Mus musculus: one gene and its partners. Each later gene encodes a partner of the first gene's protein in a complex. Links are inferred from orthologs where the notes say so. Each region holds a gene or a part of one and is shown in the gene's direction. Other genes may lie near its edges. The genes, in order: Gnas, Olfr78, Fzd3, Crhr1, Sctr, Hrh2 and Gpr21.

Region 1 (3,500 bases):
CCTGTTGAGAACACCCCCAACCTCTAAACCTTGCAGGCCCTCACCTAAGAGATGGACACCAATAAAAAATATATAGTGAGATCATTCAGAACACAGGGCCCCTCCCAAAATACACAAGCCTGCATGGAAAGAAAGCCCCAAATATCAGCTATGATAAGTCTTTGTTGAAAGAATGGGTTCTTTGGGTGTGGTCCTATTGGTGGGCATGAACATGACCCCCATATTCCCACTCTATTGGCAGGCACTCACATGGCCTCAGACCCCCAACCAATTTGCAGGCATGCACATGACCCCAGAACCCCACCCAACTTACAGGCATGCACATGACCCCCAGACCCCCACTCTTGGTGGGTACCCCAGAAACCCCCAGATCACCACTATTGGTGGGCACCTCCAGATTCCCATCCCTTTGGTGGGTATCCACATGATGCCAGACCCCTACTCTATTGGCAGGTATCCCCATGTCCCCCAAGTCTCCACCCTATTGGTGGGTATGCACATGGCCTCACGGACTCCCACCCCATTGGTGGGTATACATATGACCCCCAGACCCCCACCCCATTGGCAGGAATGCACATGCCTCCCAGACCCCTACCCTATTAGGAGATCTACATGCCTCCCAGACCCCACCCCATTAGCAGATATCTACATGCCTCCCAGACCCCACCCCATTGGCAGATATCCACATGATCCCTCAGACCCCCACCCCATTGGCAGATATCCACATGACCCCCAGGCCCTCACCCCGTTGGTGGGTATCCACATGACTCCCAGAACCCCACCCCATTGGCAGATATCCACATGCCTCCCAGACCTCCACCCCATTGGCAGATATCCACATGATCCTCCAGACCCCCACCCCATTGGTGGGTATCCACATGACCCCCAGACCCCCACTCCATTGGCAGATATCCACATGATCCTCCAGACCCCCACCCCATTGGTGGGTATCCACATGACCCCCACTCCATTGGCAGATATCCACATGACCCCCCAGAACCCCACCCTATTGGCAGGTATCCACATGCCCCAAGATCTCTACACCTCTGTCAGGCACATGGCCCCCCAGATCTCCACCTGAGGCCTGCCTGCCACCCCTCCTGGCTATAGTAGCCTCTGGTCCCCATCTTGCAACTTTACTAATTAATTTTCTACCCTGTTCCATGGGGAGGGGGCGTGATTTAACTTTCGCTATCTTGTGACTTCAATTTAATGTCAGTAAAAGCACCTCTGCCCTACCTCTGTCACTGCCACCTAGTCCTCTACCTCAGTTTCCTTATCAGAAAGGGTCTGTTCCTCTCCAATGCCCTGTTCTGTGCTACCAGGCCTCACCCTGAGGGTGCAGTGCATGCTGGTCTTCTAATCCCCCATTGGCCATGCAGAAGATTAGGCTCAGACAAAATGGAGTCTGCTCCAAGCAGGGAAGTGGGGCTTTGCTGCTCCCCTAAGTACAAGCTCGAGATTCTCTATGGCTGTGCCTGGCATATAGGCTGTCTCCTAAAAGACACAGCATTTTGAACCACTGTAACCTCCATAAATTAGCATTCCTTCTGGGGGGGACACCATCCACCCCCAAAACCAGAAGATGTGACCTGTGACCTGTGGGATCGCTGACTCTGACTGCATACAAATCATCCCAGAAAGGCCACAGAAGTTATCCCAGAGGCTGGTTTAAATAAGCAAACATCTAGCCAACTCCTCCTCCAGTATCCATGAACCCAATGCCCACCAACAATGTGGGGACCCAGGACTCCTAGCCACAACTGGGGGCCTGTTCAAAAGTGCTGTGAGCCACAGAACCCCAAACAACATCTTCCCTCCCTGGTGACAGATGCATAGATACTTAAATAATTAGATCTACAAATATGGAAATGGAAAACCCTAATATCAATAATAAACACTTGTCACCTCTGGGTCTCACAAACTACTGAATCCCAAGTTCAGCATGTACTAACCCTACCTCCATACAACCCTCCCTGTGCTAATCAAGAGCCACGCAGGAAGCAGCAGGGTGTGGTTGGAATGGACAGTAGACCAGGTGCAATTTCTGGTCCAGTTAATCAAGATCTCGATGCCATGTCTCTAACCCAGCCTTATCAGGCCTGTCCTCAGGACATGATTGGGAAATTATGATTTATTTTTATTTGGATGCCTTCAATCTATAGATCTAGCCCACAATTCCTTGGAAAACAGAATACTATGCTTTTTAGTTGACGTGTCTCAATGACGATAACACCCTGGTGGGCAGGATGCAATATGATTTTCTTTTTTTTTTCCTTTCAATCCCACTGTAGTGAGAAGGCCACTAAAGTGCAGGACATCAAAAACAACCTGAAGGAGGCCATTGAAGTATGTGTCTAGCTCCTTGCTCTTATCTTTTAGCAAGCCCCTCGCCCCACGGTGCTGCCCCCCCCACCCCCACGCCTGACCAATTTGCTAAACTGTTTTCAGACCATTGTGGCCGCCATGAGCAACCTGGTGCCCCCTGTGGAGCTGGCCAACCCTGAGAACCAGTTCAGAGTGGACTACATTCTGAGCGTGATGAACGTGCCGAACTTTGACTTCCCACCTGTAAGCTCCACCCTAACCCTGGTTTCCTCTGCCCCTCTCACCTTAGTCCCAGTGGGAACACGAGGGCCAGACTTGCATCAGGCCAGAGTGACCAGACACATACCTGCCGTGTGAATGCATAAGTTAACTCCAGGCATATGCCTAAGACTAAAGGATGATAAAGACATGATTAGGGCTTTGTCCAAAATGGATGAACAAAGTTCCATCACCTTTTCTAGACCTCAACCTAGTCCTCCATTTATCAGATAGTGAGTTTTTTTTTATGGAGGAGAGGTCCTGAGCTAAGGCAAGCTCAATTATTCCCCTCATACACATGAGGACAGACAAAACCACATGTTTGTTACACATGGCACACAAGTCCTAATTGTCCAGTTAATCCAGCCTAGTACAAATATGCACCTTCCAATGTTCAGATCTAAACATAAATTACAAAATGGAACATTATAAGAAAAAAATTGTTCTCATCAGCCCTTTGCCGGGAGCCTGACCCTCTTGACAAGGGTCTCTTGGCTTTCTAAAAGCTTTTTTTAGAGAGGGTAGAACTGCCCTGCGTCAAGCATATGTACACTTTAACCCTTCGTGGGGGGAGCAAAGATTTTTAAAGCCAAAAGAAGAGACTTGTCTAAAGTTAAGAAGTCATTGCTGCCTCTTCTTAAGCTTTTGTGGGGTTTGTGTTTTTTAGATGGGTTTTGGCTACAAACTTGTGAGAAAAATTAGTACAGGCAGGTACATTAAAAAAAAAATAGCTGTTGATTAAAACAATAAGAACAACAGCAACAGCAACAACAAAAACCAACCCTCCCAACAGGGAAACACAGCATGGATTCTATAGTCATCTGATTCCCATGATTCACAGAGACAAAATGGCAGCCTACCCACAATGCATCTGATGTCATTGACATCTGCTACTCTGATATCTGGACAATATT
Region 2 (4,042 bases), on another chromosome or scaffold:
TGACCTTGGATTGGTAGGACTGCAGGAACAACTAAAGAAACCATGTATATAACCAATCTGTGAATAATGCTTAGTAAAGACGTGGGGGAGGGGGGAGGGAAAATAGTCAACTCACCTTAGATAGCATCACAAGCCAAAGACAACTCCTACCTCCCCTGATTCCTTAACATAATAGTACCATAATTTGAACACAGTACATATGCTCCCCAAATCATCTGAGTTACTCTCCCACCTTGCCTCTTCACATACCAAAATAGAAAGCAGATAAAATTATGGAAAAAAATAAAGAAGAAGGTATTATTTTCTGTGTACCTAAATTATGGACTGAGATGTTTTACCACCCTGTTTACAAAACACCTGTTTCTAAGATAACTTTGTTTTTGATTAGCATGTGAATGTTAGCCTGTCTCTCTTCTAAAAGTCTAGGCAGTGGGCTTATGTTGTGTTCTTTTTTTATTATTATTAATCCCTAGCACTTACAGAATAGCTAGAACATAGGGCATCATTATGAAATCTATATGCATAGATGACTGTACAAGTTATTTCCTAATCTTAAGAGGTAGTTACTTAATGATCCAGTGTTACTATGAATAATGCCAGACTAGGAGGTTAAAACACTATGGAGTCTAGCTGCATATGTATCAAAAGATGGCCTAGTCGGCCATCACTGGAAAGAGAGGCCCATTGGACTTGCAAACTTTATATGCCCCAGTACAGGGGGATGCCAGGGCCAAAAAGTGGGAGTGGGTGGGGAGGGGAGTGGGGGGGGAGGGTATGGGGGACTTTTGGGATAGCATTGGAAATGTAAATGAGGAAAATGCCTAATAAAAATATTTTTAAAAAAACATTATGGAGTGAAGTAAACTTATTACCATAGCAGGAGATGTTTTAAGCATATGATATTTCATTTTTAAATTCACCTCAAATGGCCTGCTAATGGTTATGGCATTTTTGAGGTGGTGAAATTTCCCTATATTGGATTGTGGTGATGGTTCCTGCATAATTCTGTGATTTTTCTTAAAAACTATTGAGTTATACACTATAAATGAGTCAATTTTATAGTATGTGTACTGTATCTCAATAAAGCTGTTATTAAAAAAGAAAACTTTCCAATGAAACAGCACAAGGACAAAACTTTACATCAGCTCATAAAGCATGTAGGCATAATCACATTCTGGAAGAGATATAAAAAGCCTGTGTCAGGCAAGTGGAGTCCTCGGGGAGTGCCCACACCCTAGAGGCACAGTGAATTAGCACTGCCGCTGGGAACCGGTCCCTCGACTCTGCTGATCTCCAAACAAGCTGAATAAATCTCAACATAAGCTGGACCCTCCTCTGGAATCTGAAGCTTCCTCCAACCTTCTGAGTTAGATTGAGGGGACTCATTGCTGCTGGATGGGCTCTGTAAGTAAAACTGTTCAGTGCAAGCCCCTGCCTCTGGGTGAGCCATACATACTGTCTTAGCACTGGGGGAGGATTACATTGTGGTGTGCAGAATTAGATAAGCTAATGTAATAGAGAACTGAAGAGGATGGAAAACTTTTGAATTATGGATTCCCAGGAAATCTACAGAGAATGAGCACTTTGTTCTGCCTGCTGGGGGGTTCGGGGGGGGGGGGTCAGACAACCTGTCTTTAGTCAAATGGCTTAATTGGTATGCGGATACATTTGTCATAAGTTAACCTCATTTCTAAATCCAATGACTCACACAAAAGATAAAAGCTTGCAGCTCATCATAGTGATACATGCCTGCAAAGACCAGCACTTGGGAAATGAGGCTAGGAAGATTGGAAGCTCAGGGTGACCCTTGGCCACATACTAGGCTCAAAGTCAACCTGTGAAAGATGAGACTCTGTTTCAAAAATCTAAATCAATATAAATTTAATTTAAAAATAAAAGTAAAAAGTGAAATTACCTGTTGTGAACATTTTTTGCATGCCAGTGCTCTATTAGGCAGTTTATATCTAGCCCTATAGATGAGTAAACTATACTAAAAGAAGTTTACATAGCTTATAGGTTTCAGTGAAATAAGGCATGTTTAAGAGTATAAACATTGTAATTAAGGAAAACTGATTTCAGAATACTGGCTGTGGGTCTCACCAGCTATCTGTGATGCTGAGTATGTTTCATAACATCTCTCACATTTGGTTATGACTTTTTTCACTGAAAAAGTAACTTCAAAGTAAATTTATTAATGCCACACATATATATATGTTGTTATAATGGGATCTTAAGACTAGCACAGTAACGCTTGATGATCTGACAAATGTGTTTTAACAGTATGAACAATTTTTATTGCTGACAAGGCTTCCAAAGGATTGTCTGAATACAGATCCAACCCTTGTCTGATACACACTATAGACCAGCAGCAGCAGCAGCTTGGAACACACTGATGATACGGCATTGGTCTAAATCATCAACTGAAGGAAAGGCAGACACAGGCTACAGCTTTCAGTATTAATGGAAAAAAAGCACATTATCTAAGTAGGAGAGTTCACAAGAGAAAGAATGAAGTTGTCTATGACTTGAAGAAAATGAGTCTGACAGGTCTGAGAGTGCCGGCACACTGAAGAATGGTTTAAAAGAGACAGAAATGATGAAGAATCCTTATAATCTCAACACTCAGGAGGCCAAGGCAACAGGATTGTGACTACAGGACAGCCTGGGCTCCATCGTAAAATCTTGTCTTGTTGAAAGGAAAAAAAAAAGATGCAGAATAATTTCTAGAAAATGTGGTGTATTTTTTATGCAATTTTATGCAATTTTTTAATGTAACAAAAAGATGTGATAAACTATAATGTCAAGTACCAACTGGCATCTTGGACATTTGAGAACTAAAATAAATAGCAAAATAAATAAATAAATAAATAAATATATTACTGGCAAGACAGATCTAAAATGGGGATGAGAGAGGGGAAATGAGTAATTTTAATTAGATGATTATTAGACCTTAATTCCATTGGCAGATAACTGAAAGAAACAGGGAGTGGAGAAAGAAATGAGTCTGCTGAGCTCTGCTGGAGGTTGTAGTGTCTGAGGACTGAGACTATGTCTCTCAAAAACAGGTGTTTTGTTTGCTTTTTATTACCACTGGAAGCAAAGAGCTTTTATTTGTTCTCCAAACTGTGGCTCAACTGCAGATTTGAGCACATCAGCCCGGTCCACATTTCACTGCTGCCTTCATGTTTAACCCTTCACCTTTCTGATAACTTTTGCAATACAGAATTGGGAGATGTTAGCTGCACGCATCAGGTGGACGGGGGTTATTTAAAGCCATGGTCATAATGAGGTTATCTCTAGGAGAGGCTATGGACTGCAGGAAGGGATAAATAAAGCCAAATTTTCTCCAGTGCCACAATTTAGAAGGCAGAGAATAGTATTTGCTAATAAATAGTGGAAAGGGCTAATCTGTCAGAGGAGTCATCACTGAAGCAATTGAAAAAGAAAGGATCAAGGAAGAGGTAAGTGGGAGAAAAAACATATCTGGAATTTACACAGAATACTTAGAAATACATTAGTCACTGAGTTGAAAGATTTTCTGAGAGTTCTCAGTGGGGAAGTATCCTGCTTGTTACCAAGGGTGAAGGAAAAATAAACAAAAGCAGATTGTTCTTCAAGCTCTTCCTTGCTCGCTGTAAACTATGCAAAAGGAAAACCGAAGAAGGGATGGTATTTATGACTGGTCCCTCTGTTATCTAAGCACTGTGGTTAATAACGACAGATAGTGATGGGTCCCAGTTGAGATGAGTATGTTGAAAGTCTCTACACTAAAGTGAAAAAAAGCATTCATTATTGAGTTGGGATAGAACTTGTAAATAGGACCCAATGGAGCCCAGCAAAATGCTAAAGAAAGAAAGGAATGCTGTTGGAACTAAATTAGAAGAGACAGACAATGGCTTGTTTACTTACTCATAAAATATTTGGAAATGCCTGGGTCTTGATGCTTCGCAATGCAAAATCTACCACATTATCCTTTCCAAGAAATTCAAGATTCTTATGTTTTCAATCACTCACTTCTCCCTCACCTAAAGGAGACTCACGT
Region 3 (4,152 bases), on another chromosome or scaffold:
ATGCTGATTTGCCTGGAATGGCCCTAAGAATCAACATTATTGTCCTGAAAATGTTGCTGCACAAGTGCCAATAAGGAAAGTGGAAATTGCTATTTCAGATTTTGTTTATCACGCTGGCCTATCAAATTCTGTCAATTCTGATGTGAGACTGACCTGAGCACAAGACTTTTCAGCATTCACTAAATTACCTGAGAACCTTTTAAAAATTATATCTGACTCTGTCTCTTGTTATCTGTCTCTCTGTACACCTATGGGCCAGAGGTCAACTACAGGTGTGTTAGTCAGTTGCTCTCCACCTAGTTTTTTGAGACAAATCTTTCACTGGCCTGGGGATTCACCAAATGGGCTAGGCTGAGTGACTAGCTAGCCCCAGGACCCACCCTGGCTCCACCTCCCCAGCACTGGGACCACAAGTGCCTGCTATTAGGACTGATTTTGTTGTTGTTATTTTGTTGTTGTTGTTGTTTTGTGGGTTCTGGGGATGTAACTCAGGTTCTTCCGCTTGTATAGCAAATGTTTTACCAACAGAACTGTATCTTCAGCCCATATGTTCTCACCGTAGCCATTTATAAACATAAGGGTCAGTAGTGTCAAGTACAATCACTTGCAACAGGGCCAACGTTGCTGTATGTCCTGTGAGCTACCAAGAGAACCAAATGAAGCCATGGACTCTAAGTTGAAGATGGACAAAAAGAAAGATAGGTAAAACCCTGTAACAAAGAGAAACGCAATCACGATTAATTGAATACAGGCTCTTCCATTAAAATGCTGTGTGACTAAGTAAGACATCCAACCTTTCTGAGAGTTCTTCTCCCTGTTGGGAAAAAATAAAATTGTGTTTAGATGACCTCTAAAGAAATCTTTCAGCTCCTCAAGCCGTGCATATAGCAAAGGGAGTGGGGAGCCCTCTAAGCGGAAGATGAGGCATGTCACCAGCGAGCACAAGCTCCGTCTGTTTATAGTAAGGTCTCGGTGGAGAGGACGCGAAGTGTGCACCTGCTTCGCCGGTCAGAGTGCAGCGTTGCAACAGACCGGGTGTCCCTTGCTACCTGTGCGCGGCACTACCCTTCACCGTGAGTCCCCGAGGTCCGAGGTTGGCACACTGGCTTCCGCACTGGACCCGCACTGAGAACTTGGCTCAGGCGGACTTTGCAAGAAGGACTGGGCACATGTTGGATGAATGCCTCCAGCGCTGGGAACCACCAAACCGACGCGCGGCGCTCAAGACGTCACTATCACCTAGGACGCCAGGCTGAGAACAACGAAGCCGGTCAGCGCTGCACAGCCAGGAGCTGGATAGGAGGCTGACCGTAGCGCGCATGCGCGGCACGTGCGCGCGCACCTCCCTCCCCGGGCCGCGCGCCTCGACGCTCGCGAAGGCTCGGCGCGCCTGCGGTCCTCGGCCGCTCGGGGAACCTGAGGGACGCGCGGCTGCCTGCGGGGCCAGCGGCGCTGCCCGGGAGAGCCCGGAGGCCGGCGGTGAGGTGAGTCGTGCGGCCGACGTTTCCTCCGGGGCCGGGAGGGCGGGAGAGGAGCGTTGCGTGTGGAGAGCGCCGAGGCGCCTGCCCCAGCCCAGCCGCCCCTCGTCAGGCGGCGCTCGCTGCTCGCGTCGCGGCCGAACAAAAGCCCGAGGCCGGCGCTGCCGAGGCGGGCGCGGAGCTGCGGCTGGCGAGCGGCCCGGCCGGAGCCGGGTCGGAGTGGGCGGCGCGGAGTTCGGGGCCGCGGCCGCTCTAAGCGAGGATGCCCTGGGAAAGCGGCGGGGCCGGTACGTCCCGCCCGCGCCGGGCAACCTGTGCGAGTGTGGACGCGGCGGGTCCCCGCGCCGGTCGCCTGCGGGGAGCGAGGCCGGGCCCAGCCGGTTTCTGCGCTCGGCGCCGCGGGGGCGTGGGCGGGAGGACGATGCGCCGAGCTCCGGCGCCGCTGCTTCCCTGCAGCCCCCGGCCGACCCCTGACACCCAGCGCCCAAAAGTTGTCCCTTGCTGCCCATCAGTTTGCAAAGTCGGAGGCTCCCAGCGCCGCGCGCTCCCCAGGTACCCCCGCGGTGGGGACTCGGGGTCGGCAGATTTGCCCTGGGATGCGGCGTGAATTCCTAGCCTCTGGAATAAAGGCACTGAGATGCGGGTAACGTTAAGGTTGTAAACATCCCATAGGCTTTTCGCATCTTGGGACTCTTGGAGGTAGGGACTTCCTCAAGGGAAGAGGAGAGGGCTTTTTCATTTTTCTTTTCTCCTCCCTTTTCCTATTCTTTCCCTCTTGTGGGTAGAAAAAGAACAAAAGCACATGCCATTAATTAGGCAGAAGAGACTTAAAGTTGAAAAACGTCTCGAGAGGTCTGGGTTTTCGCCCAATGATAGAATCACAATTTTTAGCTCCCTTCTGAATTTCTCAGACTGCCGAACAGACGCACCAGCTTAAATCTCACGGTGGGAAAGTCCTTCAGTACATCCAGAATGTTTGTTGATGGGAATTGGGTTGCTTTGCAAAACCAGTACATGAGAGCAGGGAAACAAAGACCAGCTGGGCTTAAGGATGCCACCTCCCTTCTCAGCCTGCTTTGGTCCTCGGTGGTCTACTGGGCATAATGGGCTAGAAGAGGACTAGATAAATCTAGTTGTGTATTAAGAAGCGGGTACTCAAGTTGTGCATGATAATGGCTCATGCCTGTAATTTGAGTAATCGGAAACTAAAGCAAGAGAATCTCCGAAAGTTACAGGCCAGAATAGGCTGTGTAGTGGACCACTTTCTCAAAAAGAAAGGAGGCGATAAGACCTTACATTCTCTCTCTACCTTTAAACAAATCAGTGTCGTCGTCGTCGTCCCCCCTCCACCCCCGAAACAACACATTTTCTTGAACCACAGCATAAAGGTAAAAAGATTCAGGGTTAAGGAGCCAGGGAAAGGAGTGTAAATATTTGGAAGGATAAAACCGAGATAAACTATAACCCGGTTGCAGCTCTTCCCTAGACTTAGTAAAACAGTGGGTAGTGTTGATCTGTCTGCCCCCAAATGCTTTGAAACTGTTAGCAAAATAGGCATATTTTTAAATAAAGTCTAGAATTCTCTTTCATCTTTCCTGTTTTTTTTTCCTTTTGTCTAGTGATAATGTGCCTCTCATCTCTTAAAAGGCTAGTAAGGGTCCATTAATAGAAGAGAAAGTGACTGTGGCCTTCTCGTCCGTTTCCCCCCAGATTTCTATGAACTTTATTTTCTGTTTTGGGTCTTCAAGTGGATGGTTGTTTTGTTTTGTTTTGTTTTAATTTGTTTTGTTTTGTTTTAATTCCATGCTTGAGATATTTGAAGTAGAAAGGGTTGAGAGGAATTTAATAGTGATGTGTATAATACAGTGTAAGTCTTTGTATAATACAGCATGAAACCTTTATTGTGTGGGAAGAAGAGAGGAGGGGGTTCTGCTTACAAAAGAGTGTTTCCCTGCTTGACCTCTGGGAGCTGGGAATCTACCCCACTTATGTTTTATATTAGTTTGTTACTAACACTCTACAATGATTTTGTATGTAAAACTGAGCATGAAATCAGGTGTGGTGGCACACACCTTTTATCCCATCACTTAAAGGAGAATCTCTGTGAATTCAAGGCTGGCTTGGTTTACATAGCCAGTTCCAGGACACCCAGGACTGCATAGAGAAACCTCTTCTCAAATAAAAAAAACCCAAAACCAAAAAAACCCAAAGCCTTCTGAGCATCTTGGTATATTGATTGTTCTTAGGAGGCAGGTGGTAGGTAGCAGTTCTTAGCACATCATTATCTTCATTCAGTAGAGATCTGTGCAGAGAGATACAGTAAGGTTCTGAGGAAAGAAAAGGAGTTTTCAGTGGTGGTACTTGTAAGGCTGGGAATAACAACTCTTCATTGGCTCGAAGAGACGTTTAGCTGCTGTTTCAGAAATGGTCTCCCTCTCCAATTTCTAGTTTATCATTCTGGGAACCACTAGCTTCAGTGCATCCAGGGAATGCACTATAAATGAAGCTTTTGAAGACTACAACTCAGGGAGTGAGCTTAATACATTCCAGTCTCCCCCTCATTATGTCTCACCAAAACAGTACTTTACTGAAAGCACACAAAGCATATGGTTTTGCTAAGGGAAAAACACGAGCACTTGCTATTTCCTCACAAAAGCTCAGAGTTCTTGGACCA
Region 4 (2,621 bases), on another chromosome or scaffold:
TGAATTGTTGCCATCACCAAGTAGCTATGTGTGACCTTGGAGCTCATTGTCACAGCAGGCCTCAGTTTCCTCATCCATGAAATGGGCATCTTCATTTTATTTGCCACCTCAAGGCTGTAGTGGGGATGAAGGGCATCAGTGCCTACTAAGCACGAAGAATAGCATCTGCCACCCAGTAAGTGCTGCATAAATGTTTATTAACATCAAGGTATGCTTTACAAAAAAAAAAAAAAAAAAAAAAACCTGGTTCAAGTGGTTTCAAAGCCTTTTCCAGCACAACCTGAAGCCTTGCACATGGGGGACTTTCTGGCTATCCCTCACAAGGATCATATGGGAAGCTCTAGAAAGTTCTATACCTCAGGGCTCCATGCTACCAGACTGAGGTGTGGCCTGGGTAACAGGGTGGTTACTGTGTAAAGCCAAGATTGAGAACTTCGCAGAAAGACTGAGAAGGTGGGAGGAGCTGGGTCACACTTAAGCATCCCCAGCTCCCAGCTAGCTGACTGGGGGTTCACACTGACAGACGCTCCTTTCCCCTCACTGGGCTGCACAAGAAGCCCGGGGGAGTATCATCCATATTTGTGAACGTTGTTCCTTCTGCCTCAGGCTGGGGTGTTTGTGCCAAAGCAGGGTAGGCGGCAGGCTGCAGGGAGCCAGTTCACTGACAGTGGGTGCGGTATCCCGGGGAAGGGTGTGGGCGCGGGGTGGGGGTGGTATCTTCTTGGGAATGCCTGGATGGGGATGCCTGTGCTTTGTAGGATATGAAATTTTGAATAGAAGAGACTGGGAAGGAGGGAGAGGCGGAAGAAGGCAAGAGACAGGCAGCGAAGGAAAACCCAGAAAGGAGCCTGCTCCCACCCTGGAGCAGGAAGGATGCTGTAAGGTTAGGTGTGAGCAGCTCTGAAGCTCCATCTGGTGGACAAATGCTGACACTGCAGCAGAAGTGGGGGAAGATGAGCAGCGAGGCCCCGGGGTCCCAGTCTGGAGTCCACAAACAGTGGCATATGACCTGAGTGGTGTTAAGAAAACAAAAACAAAAACAAAAAAAACTTGACGTTTCAGCCAGGGGGTCACATATGCTAACTTCACATTCTGGTTTACAGCATCCATTGCAATCCCATATGCCCATAAGGACACGGGACTTCCGATTCGCCCTGTCCCTGCCTACTCCCAGGAGCTTGCCGAGTAAAGGGCAGTTCAGGAGAATGCAGAACAGGCTGACATCTTGCAATAGGTGCTAGCTGTGAAACCTTTCCCTGCATGGGCTGCACTCCCAGAGTCCCGCAGAAACTGCTGTGTGACAGGGCAGTGAGCATCGCTCAGCCATGGCCACTGCCAGAGTCTCTTGGTGGACACCAGAGAATGCAGTTGCAGTGTCAGGCTTCAGGCTGTTTCTGGATTGCTGTTTGGAGAATTCTTTCCCTGGGAAACGCAAACAAGCAAGCTACCCCTGCCTGCCAGGGACCCAACCACAAACTCAGGTGCAATTCACCTAAGTCCAGCTGAGGAAACAATGAACTTCAGGGGATGTTTACAGGGCCAGGGTAAGGAGCTATTTACAGGCGCATAGGTGACCTCAAAGTAGCCGCACCACTAGAAAGTCTCCCCACAGCATGGATAAAGACTTCCCTATGATATGAATGCACTTAACCTCCATAGAGTTAACCTCCAGTTAACTCTACAAACTCGAGCATCTCCTAAGACCATGAAGCTATGTGCAGTGGGCACCTAGAGGTGTAGGCAGACATGGCTGGAATCTCAGGCAAGGGCCCACTAACCCTCCCACTCTACTTCTCCTTTCTGTGGGAGGAATATCAACAATCAGTCCCATCTTGAGGGGTCCTTACAAGCAGCCACAACTGCGTAGATGAGGATGGTGGCTGTCACAATCAGGGGCCTTCATGGCCCCTCCCTCCACAGAGTTTGCTCCAGCTTCGCATCCTACATCAGAGGGTACCACCCACTTTGCAGACGGGTTCACTGAGGCATTGAAGGAGAGTCAGTTGGACTGGCTTTCTTGGAAATTGGGGTGCCCTTTCCTGACCACTGTCAATGACCCTGCCCTATGTTCAAGCACTACACCACTGAAAGGACTAATCCCTCTCTTCCCTTTCCTCTGTGGTCTTCTAGGTGCTGGTTTGGCAAACGTCCTGGAGTATATACTGACTACATCTACCAGGGCCCCATGATCCTGGTCCTGCTGGTAAGAGCCTCAGGAGGTAGCAGGAGACAGGCCACCATGGGGTGGGACAGTCTGTCTACCATGGACAGTATTGAGAGAAGGAGGGAGGAAGAGGGAGTACGTGCGTGCCTGTGTGTGTGTGTGTGTGTGTGTGTGTGTGTGTGTGTGTGTGTGTGTGTGTTTGTATGAGCGAGTGCAGCAGAAATACCAAGAGCAGAGCTGAGAGAGCCGAGGAAAGCCGGTCCCATCCACCCCACCCACCTCCATTTCCTGCATTTGTCCCTGCTACCCACCCCAGCCCCTGCCACCCATCCTCACTCCTTCTGGTGTGCTCCAATTGCAGATCAACTTTATCTTTCTCTTCAACATTGTCCGCATCCTCATGACCAAACTCCGAGCATCCACCACATCTGAGACTATTCAGTACAGGTACCTGGCT
Region 5 (2,528 bases), on another chromosome or scaffold:
TTCGGGGGATCTCGGTCATCCCTTTAGTGAGAAGCTCCTTATCACCTCTGACAAGCGTCACGTGCCAGGCCTCAGGGTCAATAGGTGAAAATGATTCCCGATTTGTGTTCAACAAGACAGGCACATCAGGGCAATGTGGGCGCCAAAGTAGGGAATTCTCCAAGGTATGTGTATGTATGTGTGTGTGTGTGTGTGTGTGTGAGAGAGAGAGAGAGAGAGAGAGAGAGAGAGAGAGAGAGAGAAATGTTTACTCATGTGTCTGTGTGTATGCTCGCAGACATTCATGCTCTCTCAAGTTCTTGGGGGCAGACTCAGGCAGGGCAGGGTAGGAGGTATGAGCTAAGTCCAGCAACCCAGCATATGAACTAACCCAATTCCTTCTGGCAGGGGCTGGTGGTAGCTGTCCTTTACTGCTTCCTCAATGGTGAGGTGAGTGTCCTGGGGCACCGTGGGATTCCAATGCAGAAGTTCCCTGCAGAGAGCGGTGGAGAGGGATGGGAAGGGTTCTGGACAGGTCTGCTTGCTTGGCAGAGTCACCCGGACGTATGTTAAGTCACATCCTGGGCGATATCCCCAGGACAGAGCCAGCAGAAGTAGATTCTGGGCCGAGGTTGGTAAAGTGATCTTTACTAAGCTCTCTGGGTGCTCCTTATCTGTGGGCCAGTTCGGCAAACCCAGATGAGCTCAGCTCCCCCCACCCCCAGAAGCCAAGCTCCTGGCATCTCTGATACTTGCTTTGTGTGTGACTTGGTCACTTCCCACCTGGAGTGCCGTCTTCCCAAGGGTAAAATGGGTCACTCAGAACCACCCCGGCCTTGCACGGAAGCTTCAGTTTCAGGATATGAAGCTCTAGTTATGGGCCCTGGCTAAGTAAGTCACTGCACACAAGCCAAGTGTCTCTGTGGCTACTGGCCAATCTGTCTGGTTCACACACTTGAATGGGAATGACCTCAGATATTTCCCAAAACTCAAACATCACACCTGAATCCAGAGGCTGGCTCGAGTGTTCTATTGAGGACCATTAAGGACATGTCTGCAGAGAAAATCCTCAGATCCAGAGGGATTCTGAGCTAGGGTCGGGGGTTTGATGGGAATACTCAACCTGCATCAACTCGTGCAGGTCGATGCTGCCGTTTGTGGAACAAATACATCTCACTCATTTTCTGAGGGTAGTGTTGAAAGACGGCAGGTACGGATCAGGCAGGATGGCTCAGTGGGTGAGAGCGGTTGCCCTAAGACTGACAACCAAGTTCAATTTCCAGAACTGACGTGGTAGAAGGAGAAACTCAAGTTGTCCTCTGACCTCACAAGAATACCATCTGTTCTCTTGCTCGCTCACTCTCTCTCCCCCTCTCTTCTGTCTCAAAAAAATTAATAAAGTAAAAGATAATTTTTTAAAAAAATTAAAGACCGATACAAGTGCTCAGATTACAGGGGGCCTTCAGTACCTTCTACACAGGGGACAGGAAATGGTCATTCAGAGGCCTTTAGGCAAGGGGACCCGGCAGAACAGGACCAGCTGGACCAACCAGTGAGTTGGGTTCCAGGCACAGGCCTGGCCTTCCCTCCCAAGCAATTGCTGCAGCTGATGGCGGTCTTGGGCAGGTGCAGCTGGAAGTTCAGAAAAAATGGCGCCAGTGGCACCTCCAAGAGTTCCCGCTGCGCCCTGTGGCCCTCAGCAACTCCTTCAGCAACGCCACCAACGGCCCCACCCACAGCACCAAGGCTGGCACCTCTGAGCAGAGCCGGAGCATCCCCGGGGCCAATGTCATCTGAGGCTGCAGCAAGCCAGCAGCAGACAAAGGGTTGGATGCTCGGTAGGATGGACATCGGCCAGGTAGCCATTTTGTGTTCGAGTGGCTGCACAGGCCTGTCCCCGAGGTCTGAGCTTCCTCAGAGATCAAGCAAGAGGAGACTAGGTCATCCTGGAGCAGGAAACAGGCCTGGGATTTGGTCTTTCTAGTTCTTCTAAGAAGAGCACTTCAGCGGCCCCAGAAGGGGCAGAGAAATAAAATGACATCCAGAAAAGCCTAGCCTGTGTGTCAGTCTTTGCTACCTGGAGAAGGAGTGTGTTCTAGATCACTTTCCAACTCCTCCCTGCAGGAGGAGGGTGCTTCCCTGCCTCCAAATCCCAGCTCACTTTTAAGAACAAGCTCAGAAGCCCAGAACACACGAGGAATCAAGACCCTTAGCCTCAGACAGATCTTGTCTGTCCCATAGCTCTCTCACCAAGCCTTCAGGACAAAGGTAAATTAAGATGATAAAGCCATAGGGCATCTGACCCCCTCTCGTTACATAACCCTGATGAGGTAGGAGGACTTCATGGAAAGCTAAGTGCCTAGGAAAGTGAGCTGTGCTCTCTCTCAGTGGGTGGGAGACAGCTCCTCGAAGGCCCCAGGCATGGCCAAACTACTTGACATCGATATGGAAGCCTTGTTGCTTTGAGACAGCATCTCCGGTAACCCAGGCTGGTCTGCTATTCCCTAGGTAGCTGGAGATGGCCTTGAACTTACAATTGTCCTGCCTTC
Region 6 (4,076 bases), on another chromosome or scaffold:
GAGGGTTGGACGCCCAGGAGCAGAGACATGTGACCAACTTGCACGTTTTAGAGATGACCTAAGATGCTTTGTGAATGGCAAGAGAAGAGCTCAAAAGTCTACCTTGGAAACAGACTGGTTTGGCACAAGGGAACATGGCGAATGCATCCCTAGTGAGCAGAGTGTGCACAAAGCTCACCCTGTATCCCTTTCACTGCCTTGGCCCAAGGCTTTATCTGTTGTTATCCAAGCCTCCGTGAGGTGAGCATGACCCTTAGGGTCACAGAGGAGGAAACTGGCTCACAAATAGAGACACTTATCTAGTGCTTGCCACAAGAACTTCAGGAGAGAAGATAGGGACAGGCAGAATGACCACAGTGCTGTGCTAGGCACTGGAGTAGCAGCCTAGCTAGGGAGGCAGGTGGCCAGATGAGCTGCCCCTGGGTACTTGAGGGGAATCTGCTACGTGGAGGGAGTTTGTCAAAGAAAAGTAAGAGGCTTGGGTCTGCACTGATTTGAGACACTACCTCCTGCCAGACACTCCGCCTCAGGTTGCACTGGCTCAGCATCTAGGAGGTGGAACAGTCTACCTGGACAGTTTTTATTTGTCCTGCTTCCAAAGCCCCAACCCCCTCCCATTTCTTTCCACCAGAACCCCTGGGCTGACTGAGATCTACCCAAATCTGGCTTTCCAGATTCCCAAGATCTTCCAGGATTTTCTCAGAAAAGCTGGTTCTTCTCTCGCAACTGGCCATTCTCGGAGTGGTCAGGTCCTGGAGGAACTCAGGTGAAGGGCTCATCAGATTTCTGGCCTAGCGTTCTCAAACCAGAGTGAGCCAAGACTGAGCATCTCCCCTCACACCATCAATGTGCACACAGGTGGGCAGAGTCTCAGGCCAGGGAGCTGCCCAGAATAAGTAGCCAGAATATGTAGGAGGGGTGGCGGGGTGGGGGTGGGGGTGGCGGGGTGGTGGTGGGGGTGGTGGCGGGAGGGGGGGGACGTGACAGATGACCATGTGAAAGGGAGGAAAGAAGAGGGAGGGGTGAAAGCGTCCAAAGAAGAAAAGGGGGGTTGGGAAGGGGGAAGAGAGGGAGGAAGAGAGAGCAAGAAAGGGGGAGACAGAAGGAAGAAGGGGAAGAGGGGGGAAAGGGAGAGGGGGGAGAAAGGAAGAGGGGAGGATGAATATGGGAGAAAACGCTGAGGAAAGGAGCGGCTTTCAGAACGAGGAGGAGCGAGTTGGGGGCGGGGACGAGGAAGTGGGTGCTAGGCGCACGCCGCCAGCTCCATCCTTGCCCCAGCCAGTGCAAGCGCGCAGTCCTAAGCGACCCGGTACAGCCGGTGGCGCACAGCAGCAGCACCAGGTAAGGTAAGGTGACCGACGCCTCCTGGCAGACGTCGCCTCGGGATGGGGACGCGGGTGGGGTTGCGCGGAGACCAGGCTGTGGCGTGGCCACTTTGGCTGCCTGCTTCAGATTCCTGCCGACCCCCGTCCCCAGATCGACCTCAGGCTGCGCTGCACACAGGAAGCACCTGACCTTGGGCTGATGCCTCTACCTAGATTTCCTCCCTGTCACCCTCAAGGGTCATACCCACCCCCAAAGGGGTGTTATGAGCTAGGCTTGCTGCCTCATCCCGCGGATGTGAGGGATGCCAGGGTAGCCTCACACCCCCGTGCCCTCTAAGGTGAATTTGAAAATCTTCTTGCGCTTAAAGGCTTGCTTTGTGCCCTCTGGGCGGTGGCGTGAGTCTCCTGATATATGTGTGGGAGCTTGGAGAGACTTTTGACTCCCCAGCACCAGTGAAGCGTCAGGGGCTGACAGGAAGGAGGCTGTCTAGTTTCTCAAGAACAGGTCGCCTTGCCTAAGTCCTCCTGGGCTGCTGCCCCATTCCTGGGCTGCTGGGAAGCGAGGAGTTCCCTGCGCTAGACTGGGAGGGACTCTGGTAGCTGTTCTGGTAGCTGTCCGAGACACCAGGGACATCTGATAGCTGTTCACTGGTAGTGGAAGTTCAGAAGTGGCCTTGACTCTGGTTTGAGAAACCCAGTGACCTTGAGCCTGAAAGCCTCAGTTTCCCCCTCTGACATTCACAGGGCAGTAAAGCACCCTTGAGCAGAGGTGTTCCCACTGGTCACTGTCATACACTAACTTTGGCGTCTACTGAGCCTTGGCACTGTTTGTCTGGAGGTCATATATGTAGCTAAGCATGAGGCATAGAACAGGGCCCAGAGAATGGAGAGGTTCAAGTCTTAGGAGCCCCACCCCTCCCCTCAGACACATGTCAAGGTGGCTTTTTTAAGAGACATCTCCCAGATAAGTCTTGGCCAAGCTTCTGCTTTCTTAATTATAAGAGAGAGTTATGAATTTCTATAAACATGTTTGCTTTCCCCAAAGGTTATCCAGGACTATGGGACTGATCTCTGAGCTGGGTTTGGGGAAAACCGGAAAGAGTAAAGATATCATTTGTGGGCAGGCCTGGCACCAGGCACATTAGGTGTATAATAATTCAGACTAAAGTTGTCATCACAGTACTTCTGGGGACCGGTATTGTTAACCCCCTATTGCAGACGGAGAAACCGAGGTTCTCCACAGTGATTTCCCGTAGTCCCTGCTGTGGAGTTTGGCCTCCCATCCTCCCAGCTGCAGGGGTGATACTGCTTTGTATCATTCTAGTCCCAGCCATTAAATAAGAGCATGAAATGCACAGCTCCCAGTGTAGACTTGGCTATAGTTCCCTCCTTGTCCCACACCGGAAGAATAGCTGCACACTTCCTGGAGGTGACTGATGGTTGTCAGTGAGAGCTGGTACCCTCACCAAGCATTGCCTCTAAAGCTCAGGAAGGAAGGAAGGCCACTGCTCAGTGTCCCACAGAAAGCAATACTGAACTGCTTCGCCTCTGCAGCTGACTCCGCCCTGTGTCACCCTGTCCCGATTACCCCCCTCCCCGCTGAGTCTCAGCCTGGACAGCTCCCCTGGGTTCTGAGGCATGCCCATTCCCTCTGTCCTGGACTAATGGCTAACTTGTACTAACTGGGTTGACTCAGTCCGTGTCATCCAAGTGACAGTGACATCTGAATAGGAGGGACAAGACAGAAGACAAAAATCTGGTGACAGATTCAATCTGGCAAACACTCCTTTTAGAGACACTCTCTCCAGAAGCCTTCCCAGTCATCATGTCCGCAGGGAAAACAAACCCAGCTGTGGTCCCACTCCACCAACGCCCCGAGGAAGTAAAAGCAGGATTAAACTGCAATCAGAAGGATTTGGTTCATCCTTGGGAAAGAAATCCCTGGTAATGGGGTAAGGGTCTCAGCAAGCCAAAAAGGCTCTTTGCCAAGAATGTTTTAAAACAAGAGTACATCCATCCACATGGAGTGATGGAGGAGAATGAAGATGACTGCAATCCCCAAGACAGTTACCAAAACTCAAAAGAGTGCCTAAATGCCCAACAATAGGGGCAGACAAGTCTTTACTAAAAACAGTAATATTGGTTGGGGACACCCTTATCCATTGCAGACATGGCATGACCCTGGATTTGAGACAAAAACCTAGAAAGGGAGGGATCAAAAGAAGGTTAGCAACATTTGCCCATGGTGGCAGGATTGGGGTCATGGTTGCTCCCAGGGCTTTCCTGATTTTCTGCAAGGAGTACCTACTTCGCTAATCAGCATGGAGATCTCCGTGGCTTCCAGGGCTGTGGTCTTGCAGAAGGAAGGAAGTGAGTGAAGGAAAGAGGTGTTCCTGGTATGGTTCAGTGGATGGGCATGCCACCTCTGAGACTTCCAGAGCCTCGGTAGACAGTGTCCTCAGAAGCAATGTTTGCCAGACTGAGTTGGTCACCATCTTGTTTCCTATCTTCTTCCAATCGCCACCTGTCCCAGTTCTCATTAACTGACATGCACAGTTCTTCTGTGTTTCATACGTATGGGTATGCACCTCCCTGGGGACCCCTGAAGGCGGGGACTATGGGACCCTGGAGACCACTGAGGGCGGGGACTATGGGACCTACCTACCCTGTCTTTTCTCACTAGTTCCTTCACATAGCTAGCATGTGTGTTCTTGCCACAACAGCAGCACACATGCACACGTGGCAATGGCA
Region 7 (4,081 bases), about 140 Mb from region 1:
ACTACAGCTGTGCTGATATACTGGATTATAAAATTGCAGATCAAGAGACTGATGGATATATTGTGTAAGAGGTTCTCAGGGGTAGAACCCTCAGCATACATGTGCTAGGGACTGGGAGAGTAGGAACAGGAGTACCTCAAGTTATCTGTGAGTGACAGTGACTTAAATACAAAAATCTCTGAGGCAGGAGGCTGTCCCTTCTGTGCTGCTCTTCTCTACTGAGGCCTGTCACATTATGTTATTTGTCTCCTTGAACATGTCTCGGGGGTCCTTACTTTCCTGAATTAAAGTGTTCACACTTCACTGAGCTGTGATTGTAAGCATCCTTTGCCCACAGTAAGAAAGCATGGATAAAAATAAATAAAAATACAAGTTGGATCACATGGTTCTTTGTTCAAGTGTACAGATCTCCTAGGATTACTACAGTTGCAGCATTTGTTTTCCTTTACTGATGATGTGAGGCTTTATTCAGGCAAAATTATACCATTCCCACAGCACCCAGTTTATGAAAACGGAAAGCACCCTTTATGACATTATCCAAAAAAGTAGTGTGTTATTTCAATTTGCATTGTTTTAGATAAGTAGAAACAAGATTGAACTGTAAGATTCAAAGACTTGGTACCTAAATATCTGTGTACTGTCACTCCACTCAAGTGGAGTACCTAACTAAACTGAGGAAGAAGGAGAGAACAAATAGCACCATTTCCAAATATTAGCCAATATCTAATAAATGATAAAGGAAAATTGAGGCTGAATATTGTCTCTCAGCTGTAACGTCTTGTGCAGCTGAATTAGACTTCCTCGGGTGCCATGTACTGTTACCATGCTTCCTTCCTGTGACACTGTCCTTTGTTCTTAGGGACACAAAAAAATAGGACTTTCCCCCCTCTCTCCTCTGGTACTGTACTTCAGCCCAAATCCCAACTCCTCCCTCTCTCCATCCCCACCTCTGCCCATGTTTCTTACTGGCAATCTGAATTCTGCTCATTTACCTATGAGGAAGATTGCCGACCGACAAGGAAACAGCTTTCAGATACATCCTGTGGGCGCACCAAGCCAGCGCCTACTGTGCCGTCGGGAATTCCTCTATGGGAATAAATGGTAATGAGTTGTCCAGCACGCTAGAGTGTGTGTGTGCCCTAGCACACAAGTTGCCCTGCCCTGCCCTGCCCTGCCCCACCCCCTTTCTTCCTTTTCCCAAGCCCCTCTCTCTGCTTCTCCTCCTACTCCTTTAGCCCCTCCCTCTGTGCCTTAGTTCTGCAGTAGGCTGGCTTTACGAACATTCCTGCATTGCAAGGCTTTCGGTTAAGGATGTATTGTGGCTTTTGTTTGGATTTCAGCATGCAGAATCACAGGTAACACTCTGAAATTGAGCTAAGCAGATAAATTGTATTAAGGTGTTTGCAGAGATATAATAGTACATTGGATTTAATGGAGAAAATAATCTTGGTTAATTTTTATCAATGATAATGTCTTCAGGATTACCATAAGGAGATTCTCCTACAACACGTAAAATAAAAGAAAATGAGGGTTTATAATTTCTTTATGTTGATCTTGGAAGCATGGTATTGCTGTTCCTCCAAAGTAAGGGCCGTTTATGGAGGAGGCTGCTTAGGGTGAAGTGGGAGGGGTGCTGGCAGTCAGAGCTAGCTAGGTTCTTTGTCTAGGATGTGGAATGCAAAATGTAAAATGCTCTCTCCTTTTCTTCTATCAGCTGTTCAGAGGAGACTCATTACAACTCCTGCTGAAGCTACTAATCTTCCTCCCTCTGCCCCTCCCCCACCCACACTTGGCCTGAAGACACTGTCCCCAGTTTGCCTTACTCCCTTGCTATGTGTTTGGTGAAACTGGCAGTATGGCTGCGTCTGGGACTGGCCAGACAACTGCTGTTGGCTTTCCCTATTCCAGGAAGAATTTAAAGGGAAATTGTACAGCAGGCAGTATACCCACCACAGCAGCAACCTCAGGAACGTGATGACTAGGGCTCCCTGGCTTTGTCACAGGCATGCAAAGCTGACTGCAGTGACAGTAGCTGCTCCTGAGAACTGAGACAGCAGCCAGGTGGCAGCATGAAGTGAGAGCCAGTTCCTGAGCACGAGATGAACTCCACCTGGGATGGTAATCAGAGCAGCCATCCTTTCTGTCTTCTGGCACTGGGCTACTTGGAAACTGTCAGGTTCTGTCTTTTGGAAGTGCTGATTATTGTCTTTCTAACTGTATTGATTATTTCTGGCAACATCATTGTGATTTTTGTGTTTCACTGTGCACCTCTGTTGAACCATCATTCTACAAGTTATTTTATTCAGACAATGGCATATGCTGACCTCTTGGTTGGGGTAAGCTGCCTGGTCCCTTCCTTATCACTCCTCTACTACCCTCTTCCGATTGAGGAGGCCATGACTTGCCAAGTATTTGGTTTTGTAGTGTCAGTTCTGAAGAGTATCTCTATGGCTTCTCTGGCCTGTATCAGCATTGATAGATATATTGCCATCACTAAGCCTTTAACCTATAATACCCTGGTTACTCCCTGGAGACTACGCCTCTGTATTTTTCTGATTTGGCTGTATTCCACCCTGGTCTTCCTGCCTTCCTTCTTCCACTGGGGTAAACCCGGATATCATGGAGATGTATTTCAGTGGTGTGCAGAGTCCTGGCACACCAACTCCTACTTCACATTGTTCATCGTGATGATGCTGTACGCCCCAGCTGCCCTCATTGTCTGCTTCACGTATTTCAACATCTTCCGCATCTGCCAGCAGCACACAAAAGAAATCAGCGAAAGGCAAGCCCGATTCAGCAGCCAGAATGGGGAGACTGGGGAACCCCAGACCTGTCCAGATAAGCGCTATGCCATGGTCCTATTCAGAATCACCAGTGTGTTTTATGTCCTCTGGTTGCCATACATCATCTACTTCTTGCTGGAGAGTTCTACTGGCTGCAGCAGCCGCCTTGCATCCTTCCTGACTACCTGGCTTGCTATTAGTAACAGTTTCTGCAACTGTATCATTTACAGTCTCTCCAACAGTGTTTTCCAGCGAGGACTAAAGGGCCTTTCAGGGTCTCTGTGTACTTCTTGTGCAAGTCACACCACAGCCAAGGACCCTTACACAGTTAGGTGCAAAGGACCCCCTAATGGATCTCATATCTGAGGGGGGCTCATATATTCAGTCGCTCTATTTTCAAGGAGAAAGGATGGCTTTGGTTCAGTTTTTTTTCTCTCCATCTCTGCTTCCAGTTCACTAGAGAAGTAAGAGCAGCTACAGACTATCCAGATAACCTTCATAGTTTGCAGAAGTTGCTTCCTAAATGAGATTTAAAATTAGAAGAATCAGGATCATAAAAAGAATCACTCTTGATCCAGTTTTTGAAATGTCATGGAAGTGACTACAGTTCTCAGATTCAAAAGGAGTAAAGCCATAGTTGACACCTCTCCCCACTGGCGTGGCTGAATCTGGGTGTGAAAAGCATCAGCATGTTAAAAATAACCATTTTCTTGCCCCTTTCTGGATTCTTAAATGCAAGTTGGAATTTATGTGCAATTGGTTATCTTCTAACAGAAAATATTAACATATATTGATGAACTAGCAAGGATTTTCTTTATCTGTGCCAAAATATAACTGTACTGCAAGTTTCAGCATTCATTTGGATAGTGAAATATTTTCTTTTCTTGCCTTTTGAGAGCAATCTCCATAGGATGAGTAATGTGAGCACGGAATATTACTTTATAGAGTTTTGAAATGAAGCAACTGTGCAGTGAAGCCATACAGTGTGTGAGAGCCAGCTGCTTTCACGACATGCTTCTGAGCATCGTGAGCATGTGTGCAGTAATGACATTACAGTGCTCTTTCTGGGCCTCTGTCTGTAAATATTGAGAATGTGTACACTGAGTTGGATTTTTTATAACAAAATGTATTTAATCTAAATAAATAATAGAGGGACAGCTGTCCAATTGTAATGTGAAAATATGTTTTTTAAAGTGACTGTAGTGTTTTCTGTTCTAATCCAAAGTCTTCAATGAGAACTGAGTCCACTGACGCAATCAGCCCAGGGTCAATGTAAACTGTCTGTCTTCTAAATAGTC

The links.
Region 2: the proteins of Gnas (region 1) and Olfr78 are in contact, whole or in part, in a cryo-EM structure (PDB 8F76), measured with the Homo sapiens proteins. The link is inferred for Mus musculus from reciprocal best matches to the Homo sapiens genes GNAS and OR51E2. Residues at the interface, in NP_000507.1 of Homo sapiens: Gln31, Gln35, Arg38, His41, Asp215, Val217, Phe219, Tyr358, Phe376, Cys379, Arg380, Ile383, Gln384, Arg385, His387, Leu388, Arg389, Gln390, Tyr391, Glu392, Leu393, Leu394; in NP_110401.1 of Homo sapiens: Met58, Tyr59, Asp120, Arg121, Ala124, Ile125, Cys126, His127, Pro128, Leu129, Arg130, His131, Ala132, Leu135, Asn136, Asn137, Ile220, Thr223, Val224, Leu227, Pro228, Ser229, Glu232, Lys235, Ala236, Thr239, Cys240, Lys294, Thr295, Lys296.
Region 3: the proteins of Gnas (region 1) and Fzd3 are in contact, whole or in part, in a cryo-EM structure (PDB 8JHI), measured with the Homo sapiens proteins. The link is inferred for Mus musculus from reciprocal best matches to the Homo sapiens genes GNAS and FZD3. Residues at the interface, in NP_000507.1 of Homo sapiens: Lys34, Tyr358, Gln384, His387, Leu388, Tyr391, Glu392, Leu393, Leu394; in NP_001399840.1 of Homo sapiens: Arg232, Lys318, Ser321, Glu322, Leu397, Val400, Lys408, Lys413, Leu414, Phe417.
Region 4: the proteins of Gnas (region 1) and Crhr1 are in contact, whole or in part, in a cryo-EM structure (PDB 6P9X), measured with the Homo sapiens proteins. The link is inferred for Mus musculus from reciprocal best matches to the Homo sapiens genes GNAS and CRHR1. Residues at the interface, in NP_000507.1 of Homo sapiens: Gln35, Arg38, Ala39, His41, Val217, Phe219, Phe376, Cys379, Arg380, Asp381, Ile383, Gln384, Arg385, His387, Leu388, Gln390, Tyr391, Glu392, Leu393, Leu394; in NP_004373.2 of Homo sapiens: Arg151, His155, Tyr212, Leu213, Ala216, Ile217, Leu219, Thr220, Tyr221, Asp224, Arg227, Ile290, Ile293, Leu294, Lys297, Leu298, Ala300, Ser301, Lys311, Lys314, Ala315, Val318, Leu319, Leu322, Phe362, Tyr363, Asn367, Ser368, Glu369.
Region 5: the proteins of Gnas (region 1) and Sctr are in contact, whole or in part, in a cryo-EM structure (PDB 6WZG), measured with the Homo sapiens proteins. The link is inferred for Mus musculus from reciprocal best matches to the Homo sapiens genes GNAS and SCTR. Residues at the interface, in NP_000507.1 of Homo sapiens: Gln35, His41, Val217, Phe219, Thr350, Tyr358, Phe376, Cys379, Arg380, Asp381, Ile383, Gln384, Arg385, His387, Leu388, Gln390, Tyr391, Glu392, Leu393, Leu394; in NP_002971.2 of Homo sapiens: Arg174, His178, Tyr239, Leu240, Leu243, Leu244, Ala245, Ser247, Phe248, Ser250, Glu251, Arg252, Leu320, Lys323, Thr326, Gln327, Thr329, Arg339, Arg342, Ser343, Leu347, Tyr388, Leu391, Asn392, Gly393.
Region 6: the proteins of Gnas (region 1) and Hrh2 are in contact, whole or in part, in a cryo-EM structure (PDB 9IXJ), measured with the Homo sapiens proteins. The link is inferred for Mus musculus from reciprocal best matches to the Homo sapiens genes GNAS and HRH2. Residues at the interface, in NP_000507.1 of Homo sapiens: Gln35, Arg38, Ala39, His41, Asp215, Lys216, Val217, Asp343, Leu346, Arg347, Thr350, Tyr358, Phe376, Arg380, Asp381, Ile383, Gln384, Arg385, His387, Leu388, Arg389, Gln390, Tyr391, Glu392, Leu393, Leu394; in XP_006714928.1 of Homo sapiens: Arg116, Ala119, Val120, Met121, Pro123, Leu124, Arg125, Tyr126, Pro127, Val128, Ile205, Val208, Ala209, Gln212, Ala213, Arg215, Ile216, Ile219, Ser220, Trp222, Lys223, Lys231, Ala232, Thr235, Leu236, Leu291, Asn292, Arg293, Asp294, Arg296.
Region 7: the proteins of Gnas (region 1) and Gpr21 are in contact, whole or in part, in a cryo-EM structure (PDB 8HMV), measured with the Homo sapiens proteins. The link is inferred for Mus musculus from reciprocal best matches to the Homo sapiens genes GNAS and GPR21. Residues at the interface, in NP_000507.1 of Homo sapiens: Gln35, Arg38, His41, Val217, Pro321, Asp323, Arg342, Asp343, Leu346, Arg347, Thr350, Tyr358, Cys359, Pro361, Phe376, Cys379, Arg380, Asp381, Ile383, Gln384, Arg385, His387, Leu388, Gln390, Tyr391, Glu392, Leu393, Leu394; in NP_005285.1 of Homo sapiens: His61, His62, Thr64, Arg127, Ala130, Ile131, Thr132, Pro134, Leu135, Thr136, Tyr137, Asn138, Thr142, Pro143, Ile214, Ile217, Cys218, His221, Thr222, Asp224, Ile225, Arg228, Gln229, Arg231, Phe232, Arg249, Tyr250, Val253, Leu254, Asn308.

What each region holds. Positions count from the first base shown.
Region 1 is NC_000068.7:174,339,359-174,342,858, forward strand, and holds part of Gnas (protein GNAS), read left to right. Parts: intron 1-2,291; coding exon of another isoform or gene 2,292-2,294; coding exon 2,295-2,349; intron 2,350-2,451; coding exon 2,452-2,571; intron 2,572-3,500. UniProt on the Homo sapiens protein: Guanine nucleotide-binding proteins (G proteins) function as transducers in numerous signaling pathways controlled by G protein-coupled receptors (GPCRs).
Region 2 is NC_000073.6:102,756,672-102,760,713, reverse strand, and holds the start of Olfr78 (olfactory receptor 51E2), read left to right. Parts: upstream 1-1,242; 5' UTR 1,243-1,404; intron 1,405-4,042. UniProt on the Homo sapiens protein: Olfactory receptor. Activated by the odorant, beta-ionone, a synthetic terpenoid. The activity of this receptor is probably mediated by G-proteins leading to the elevation of intracellular Ca(2+), cAMP and activation of the protein kinases PKA and MAPK3/MAPK1.
Region 3 is NC_000080.6:65,259,664-65,263,815, reverse strand, and holds the start of Fzd3 (frizzled-3 precursor), read left to right. Parts: upstream 1-1,352; 5' UTR 1,353-1,484; intron 1,485-4,152. UniProt on the Homo sapiens protein: Receptor for Wnt proteins.
Region 4 is NC_000077.6:104,170,781-104,173,401, forward strand, and holds part of Crhr1 (corticotropin-releasing factor receptor 1 isoform 1 precursor), read left to right. Parts: intron 1-2,130; coding exon 2,131-2,203; intron 2,204-2,525; coding exon 2,526-2,611; intron 2,612-2,621.
Region 5 is NC_000067.6:120,061,507-120,064,034, forward strand, and holds the end of Sctr (secretin receptor isoform 1 precursor), read left to right. Parts: intron 1-387; coding exon 388-429; intron 430-1,120; coding exon of another isoform or gene 1,121-1,276; exon of another isoform or gene 1,277-1,605; coding exon 1,606-1,776; 3' UTR 1,777-2,028; downstream 2,029-2,528.
Region 6 is NC_000079.6:54,190,853-54,194,928, forward strand, and holds the start of Hrh2 (histamine H2 receptor), read left to right. Parts: upstream 1-1,276; 5' UTR 1,277-1,341; intron 1,342-4,076. UniProt on the Homo sapiens protein: The H2 subclass of histamine receptors mediates gastric acid secretion. Also appears to regulate gastrointestinal motility and intestinal secretion. Possible role in regulating cell growth and differentiation.
Region 7 is NC_000068.7:37,515,345-37,519,425, forward strand, and holds Gpr21 (probable G-protein coupled receptor 21), read left to right. Parts: upstream 1-1,281; 5' UTR 1,282-1,355; intron 1,356-1,714; 5' UTR 1,715-2,099; coding exon 2,100-3,149; 3' UTR 3,150-3,937; downstream 3,938-4,081. UniProt on the Homo sapiens protein: Orphan receptor.